Caenorhabditis elegans: one gene and its partner. The protein of the gene in region 1 binds, or shares a complex with, the protein of each later gene. Each region holds a gene or a part of one and is shown in the gene's direction. Other genes may lie near its edges. The genes, in order: rpl-5 and rpl-11.2.

Region 1 (3,863 bases):
GTTATTTTAGCTGTATAAGAATGGTTTTTAGCACTATTTCTGAATTTTGTAGGAAACACTAAAATTCGCGGATCAACTCATTCGTAGCCATAATCAAAATTTGAAATATAAGATTTTATTTGAAATTAAATCAAAATAAAATAATTTAGTGCTTCTTGGCTCTAGCTGGGCATGGGCAATAGTTAGCATCTGGTCCAATAGATCCATCCTTTCCTGGCAATCCTGGTTGTCCATTATCAGCATCACGTCCTGGTTGTCCATCTGGTCCCTGTGGTCCTTGTGGTCCTTGCTCTCCATCAACTCCAGAATCTCCGTTCTTTCCTGGTTCTCCTTGAGATCCTGGCCATCCTGGAGTTCCTGGTTGTCCTGGAAGTCCTGGTCCTCCAATAGTTCCATCTTGTCCAGTTGGTCCTTCAGATCCTTCAGTTCCTGGCTCTCCTTGTGGTCCTTGTTCTCCAGTGATTCCGGCCTCTCCTGGAGCTCCATCTTCTCCACATTGTCCTGCAGATCCAGATGCTCCTGGGAATCCTGGCTCTCCAATATCTCCGTCTGGTCCAGTTTCTCCTGGTGGTCCTTGTGGGCATTGAATGCATCCTCCTGGAAGATGATGGGTAACAGCCAGAGATACTCCAGAAGCTCCATCACGTCCCTTATCTCCAGATGGTCCTTGATCTCCACGTCCTCCTGGAAGTCCTGGTGGTCCTGGTGGTCCTGGTGGGCATCCTTGAGAGTTGGCATCACAATTACATTGAGATGGATAAGCAGAACGCTTGTTACGGAAAACGCTGGCGAAAGCGGCACTGCGGGATTCAGAATCAAGAGATGGCTTGGTGAATCCAATCATACGATTCCATGCATCATCAGACATCACCTGAAAACAGTTTTTTATAGGCATATCCAGTTGAATCCTTTCGGAGTCCAAGTTGACTATAACTCATAGATTTATAAAAAACTAATACTTTAAATATAAATACTAACAGGTTTATCATAATTACCAACCTTCATGTCATGGACTCCAGTTACAATTTCTTCTCTCATCGTGTCAATATCGACAACAATGGAATGCATGGCGACAAGGGCGCCAAAAACGGCAACCAGCGAAATAGAAGCACAAACGGGAACCAAATATTTTGACATTTTTAGACGATGTCTGAGTGTTCCATCAGGAAACGATTCATTTTAATAGTGAAGACGTTCGTGGTGAGATATAATGTGAACTTGAGAGAGATGCGTGACGGTACTGGAAGCGAATCCACTTTTTTCGACAGCGCGAAGAATCGAATAAAAAGTTAGGACCGTATGGGAAATTGTTTCTAAGTTTTTGGTGCAAAAAACCATTAGTGATAAGGAAAACCTGCTTTTCCGTCCATTTTTCATTGCCGGATAATCTTCTTGAGTGTTTTTTTTTCTGATTTGCATTAAAATTGGTTTTTTAATATCTCAATTCATATACGATTTGTTTTCTGTCTGTTTCCCTACTAAAAACTTATATTTTGAAGTTAATTCACAACGTTTTCTCGTTTGGAAGCGATGCCTACCGTACCCTTGCTGTTTGAATTCCCGCGCCTGCGCATCAAACTTTATGTGTGCAGTGGCGGTGTACGCACACCATCAACTCGCGTCTGATTGCGGACTTGAAGCAAATTTGTGTTGTCCTAAAAATTTTCTATTCTTTTTTTGATTTTTCAGTGCTTTTCACGATTTTTTTAAAATAAAATTAAACAAAAAATAAGATTACACTGATTTATCGATTTTTAAAGTCACTGTCTACACTTTTTCGATTTTTTCGAATATTTATCGTTTTCTTTGCTTGAAATTCCGCCATCTTTGAGAGTTTCATTGTTCACTCGTAATATTATTTTTGTTAGTCATTTTTTGCTAATGGCGAACGCTAGAACTTCCCGTTTCCTTCGAAAATAAGCTTGGTTTCTTCCCGATAATCGTTTCGTTTCTCTCTTTCTATACAGGATAGTTTTAAAAATATAATATTGCAGAAGAACATGGGTCTCGTCAAGGTCATTAAAAACAAGGCCTACTTCAAGCGCTACCAGGTCAAGCTGAGACGTAGACGTGAGGGAAAGACTGACTACTATGCCAGAAAGCGTCTTACCGTCCAGGACAAGAACAAGTACAACACCCCAAAGTACCGTTTGATCGTCCGCATCACAAACAAGGATGTTGTCGCTCAGGTAAGGTTTTCATTAATTTCAAATGTAGAATATATTAATTTAAGTGTTTCAGCTCGCTTACTCCAAGATCGAAGGAGACGTCGTTGTCGCTTCGGCTTACTCCCACGAACTTCCACGTTACGGACTCAAGGTCGGACTTACCAACTACGCCGCTGCTTACGCCACCGGACTTCTTCTTGCCCGTCGTCACTTGAAGACCATCGGACTTGACTCCACCTACAAGGGCCACGAAGAGGTATTTTGTATTTCTATTTGATCTTACTTTAAATTCATACTTTAGCTTACTGGAGAAGACTACAATGTAGAAGAGGAGGGAGACCGCGCTCCATTCAAGGCTGTCCTCGACATCGGACTTGCTCGCACCACCACCGGATCCAAGATCTTCGCTGTGATGAAGGGAGTTGCTGATGGAGGCATCAACGTTCCCCACAGTGAGAGCAGATTCTTCGGATTCGATCAAGAGTCGAAGGAGTACAATGCTGAGGCCCACCGCGACCGCATTCTCGGAAAGCATGTTGCTGACTACATGACCTACTTGAAGGAAGAGGATGAGGATCGTTACAAGCGCCAATTCTCCAAGTTCCTTGCCGCTGGATTGAACGCCGATAACCTTGTTGCCGTAAGTTGAATTATTCCTATTTTTGTAACCAATGTTTAAAATATTCAGACTTATCAAAAGGTCCACTCCGCCATCCGTGCTGATGCCTCTCCAGCCGCAAAGAAGGCTGCCAAGCCATCCAAGAGACACACCGCCAAGAGGCTCACATATGACGAGAGAAAGCAACGTGTTGCCGACAAGAAGGCCCTTCTTCTCCAACTCAAGGAGCAACAGGAGTAACTCTCTTTTTGTTATTTCGTTTTCAAATGAATGTATTTGTTGACAGTCTCGAGTTTTGTTACAATTTGTTCGAGTACGATAAAATTATACATTGGATTTCTTGATTTTTGAAGTCTAAATTTCAGTTAAAGTTAAGATGTCGGAAAATCCTGTCGTTTCCGATAAAAAACCAGGCCCATCAAAAGACTCTTCCTTTTTCTCCGATTTGTATGACAATTTGAATCAAAACCCGTATTTTAATGCGGGAGCTGGTCTAGCGGGAATAGGAATAGCAATGAGCTTTCTGCGGAGGACAGCTCAAATCAGCAACACGTATTTTCGTAGGCGTTTTATGATCAATCTTCAAATTAATAACGAAGACGCGTAAGTTATTTACAGAAATCCATCAGAAAATATAATGATTTTAGAGCGTATCCATGGCTTCTCGATTTCATTAATAATCGAAGTGCTACCCAAACACGGAATTTATCAGCGAATACAGTTGTTCATCAAGCTGAAAGTGGCAAAACTGAATTATCAATATCATTCCTACCTGGCCATGGAACTCATTTTTTCGTCCATGATTATCGATGGATCAAAGTCGAAAGGCAGCGTGAAAAGCAAGTTATCCAGCGAGACGGAATTCGTACACCATTTGAAACTGTCACATTGACTACGTTAGGCTCAGATGTGAAGTTTTTCAAACGGATGCTCGAACAATCTGCAAAAGAAGCCATTGATAACGCTGAAACGGGTCTTGTCATCTATCAAGCTGTTGGTCCACAATGGATTCGATTTGGTGTTCCGAGGAAAAAGAGAGACATTGAATCAGTTATTCTTGATGGGAGAATCTGTGA
Region 2 (3,565 bases), on another chromosome or scaffold:
AACAATGAGACAAAGCCATCCCGTCGTCGTACCATGCTCATCATTGTCATGATCTACTTTATTGCACTGATGATATATTTTCCATCAGTCTTCCAAAAGAAGCTTGGTGTCGTGACGGATGCTCTCACCAACAAGTGAGTTAATATTCTAGACAGATTTTTTTGTGTAATTTCAACTTCCAGAACGATCTACACAATTGTTCGCAACGAAGATGTGGAGGCACTTCAAGTTTTTAAATTCTATCTTATAGTAAGAGAAGTAAGTGAATCGAATTTTTTTAAAAGTAGTTTTTATGTTTAATTTTCAGTGTATCTGCCGCTGGGGTCCCGTTCTACTTCTTGTTATCCTGAACATGTGCGTCGTTCGTGGCCTGCGGAAAATTGACAAACGTAATTGGTTCTGGAGACAGCCATCACAAAACAGTCGGACTGAAACATTAGCTCAACGCCAACTTCGGTCGCCGCGCGATGATCGCAGTCGTATATCAGTTCTTCTGTTCGTTACATCTGCTACTTTTATCATCTGCAATATTCCTGCCTCCGTTATATCTTTCTTCGTTCGGTAAGTCTTAATATTTTGAGAATTCTTTGAACTGGACAGCATTTCAGACGAGTTAGTGGTTCATTGTTTTGGCAGATATTCCGTGCCATTGCAAATCTTCTTCAAGTCACAAGGTATGGCTACCTAAAACAAAAAATTAATTGCTTTTTTTCTTTTTTCAACTCTCCAAAAAATTCAATACATGCTATGGTTTTTTTCACTTCTTGTAAAATTCAGTAGTTTATGAAAAGAGCTCAAAGCTGAAAGATGGTTCCAAACCTTTCCCCGTTTTCAGTTATCTCTACAACTTCTACCTTTATGCTCTGTGTTCTTCTGAATACCGTCACGCATTTCTCCGACTATTTGGATGTAGATCAAGCTTATCGCCAACTTCCACTGGCGACTCTCCAACCGTTCGAGTCTCAGTTCACGGAAAGCGATGTCATCAGTGAGTTTTTCCCCTCTCCGTTTCAAAAGTCAATCATAATCTCCGTTTGCAGAGCTGTCGTCCTTCTTGGAAACGAGAATCATGAAAATCCAGTGGATGAAGTTTAATCGTTGTTATCATATACTTCTAGTTGCTTTCCTTTTCATTTTACTCAAAAATTTGTTTCCGGCCTTCTTTCAATTGCTTCCATCAATAGATCTCTGTTCTGAAACGGTTAACTTTCAATTGTGATTCTCAAAATTCTTGTCAACCTATTCCTTATCTGTTCTCCTCATTTCCAAATTTCTGTCTTAGGTGATTTTGAATGACCGGTTGTTCTTTACTTTTTTTCTGTTGCTCCAAAAACGTTTTCATTTGAACACATTCCAATTTCTTTTTACATTACCTTTTTTGTTGCATATCTTACTGATTTGGACCTTTTTTGTTCAATTTTTCACATTTAATACCGTTTTTTTACAATAAAAAAATGTCCGGATAACTAAATTTATTTAATAATGGCTCAGGCCCAAAGTCTTACCAAATCAACGGCGGCTCCGTGGAAACATGTCCTGTACAGATTCTAATCGATTGCTTTCCATCTGCCAAGCGAATTTGTATGTGTGGCCCAAAAACGCAAAGACCCCCGGGTTTGCAAAGGAAATATCACTTGGAAGTGGGAGACTCGAGATGACGCGAGAGATGTTGGCATTCTGCCAGCGTAAAGTTAGATGTGCAGGCAGGACACACAGCCAGAAACGAGTGTTACCGTAGTCATTTTGCCTCTCGTATTCTGCAGGAGAATTTCCGATCTTTCCTTTTTTCTTGTTAAATTTTAGGCCCTTTACAATTGGATGACTCGAACTTTTTTCAATCGAAAGCTTTGTTCAATGGATTTTCATAATTTAATTCGCGTTTTTGTTAGTGATTATTTTAATTTAGGGTTATTAGTTAGAAGATGATTTTTAGGTGGAAAACCTTTATTAGTTTGTTTATTTTTAGTTTTTTGGGTTTTTCTTTGAAATTCTCTGATGTTAGAAATTTGCAATTTTCTTTTTTGTTAATTTGTGCCGTTACATTTAAAATTATTTTATTGTTATTTACCTCTTTACAGACATGGGTGACATCGAGAAGCAGACGGAAATCCGCGAGAAGAAGGCCCGCAATGTTATGCGTGAGCTCAAGATCCAGAAGCTCTGCCTCAACATTTGCGTCGGAGAGTCTGGAGATAGACTGACCCGTGCCGCTAAGGTAAGTTAATTTTCACTTGTTGCAGAATATGAACTGAATTATTTTATTTCAGGTGCTCGAGCAGCTCACTGGACAGACCCCAGTGTTCTCCAAGGCCCGCTACACCGTCCGTACCTTCGGTATCCGCAGAAACGAAAAGATCGCCGTTCACTGCACCGTCCGCGGACCAAAGGCCGAGGAAATCCTCGAGAAGGGACTCAAGGTCAAGGAGTACGAGCTCTACAAGGAGAACTTCTCCGACACCGGAAACTTCGGATTCGGAGTCCAGGTAACCATTGCAGAAGCGATCTAGTCAGCTGTAAGTATTAATGAATTGCAGGAGCACATCGACTTGGGAATCAAGTACGATCCATCGATCGGAATCTACGGAATGGACTTCTACGTTGTCCTTGACCGTGCTGGACGCCGTATCGCCAAGAGAAGACGCGCCCCAGGACGTGTCGGACCATCCCACAGAGTCGAGCGTGAGGAGTCCATCAAGTGGTTCCAACAGAAGGTAAATTTTCGCTTCATAGATACCTTTGTTCATCTTCAAATTTTCAGTATGACGGAATCATCCTCCCACCAAAGCCAAAGGTCAAGCGCACATTCCACCGTCGCCGTTAAGAAAATTGTTGATTTTTTGACATAAACTGTTATATGTTGTACCAGATTAAAAATGATGTTTTTGGGGTTGGGTTGAACTTTTCAGAGCACAAAAACCTCAATCTTCTGAACACTGAAAAGTAAAAAGCTTTAAAAATTAACGTGGATTCGCAAAGGAAAAGATTGTGGGAAAAACGTCAGAACTTTGTGAGCACTTTATAGAGAGATAAGTCTGTTATTTTAAGATATATCAAGTGATTCGATAAAACCTTACGACCTCATTTTCTAGGCGCGTCTAAAAATAAATCTAGAATTATTTATTTTTTTCAATTTAAATCATACAAGTTACGTTGCTTAAACAAATGTGTCGAATTTCGAGTTCATAACGCAATTATCGGATCTATGTTCCGAGAGTTAGCGGCGGGTTTTGAACAAAAATAATTTGACGGTCCTTGGTATCTGATATGTGATCAATTCGAATTCCTGAAATATTTCTGGGATTTCTGAAAATATATTTCGAAAATCGAAAATCGAAAATTCGAAAACATAAATAAACTTAGTTTCATTGCGTATATGAAATAAATAAGACCAAACTTATTTGAAGATTGATAAAGCTATTGTTAATGGTTCATGATTTGTATATTTTTCAGCATAAGTCTGTAAATTTTTGTAAAGAAAGCTCTATCGGCTGCTCAGATATGAGCTTAAAAGTCGAGTGGCACCAAAAAGCTTGGTAAACGCTATGTACAATATTGGCTCTATAAT

The links.
Region 2: rpl-5 (region 1) and rpl-11.2 share a complex: the UniProt entries of both Caenorhabditis elegans proteins name them as parts of the large ribosomal subunit.

Annotation. Positions count from the first base shown.
Region 1 is NC_003280.10:8,567,933-8,571,795, forward strand, and holds rpl-5 (Large ribosomal subunit protein uL18), read left to right. Parts: upstream 1-1,994; 5' UTR 1,995-2,000; coding exon 2,001-2,189; intron 2,190-2,241; coding exon 2,242-2,424; intron 2,425-2,469; coding exon 2,470-2,808; intron 2,809-2,856; coding exon 2,857-3,027; 3' UTR 3,028-3,054; downstream 3,055-3,863. Other genes in the region: col-38 (Cuticle collagen 38), read right to left, coding at 146-871, 1,000-1,137; bcs-1 (Mitochondrial chaperone BCS1), read left to right, coding at 3,164-3,390, 3,435-3,863. UniProt on the Caenorhabditis elegans protein: Component of the ribosome, a large ribonucleoprotein complex responsible for the synthesis of proteins in the cell.
Region 2 is NC_003284.9:2,241,132-2,244,696, reverse strand, and holds rpl-11.2 (Large ribosomal subunit protein uL5B), read left to right. Parts: upstream 1-2,078; 5' UTR 2,079-2,080; coding exon 2,081-2,215; intron 2,216-2,267; coding exon 2,268-2,483; intron 2,484-2,534; coding exon 2,535-2,711; intron 2,712-2,758; coding exon 2,759-2,821; 3' UTR 2,822-2,959; downstream 2,960-3,565. Other genes in the region: putative G-protein coupled receptor AH9.1, read left to right, coding at 1-134, 183-258, 308-561, 609-674, 836-988, 1,041-1,095. UniProt on the Caenorhabditis elegans protein: Component of the ribosome, a large ribonucleoprotein complex responsible for the synthesis of proteins in the cell.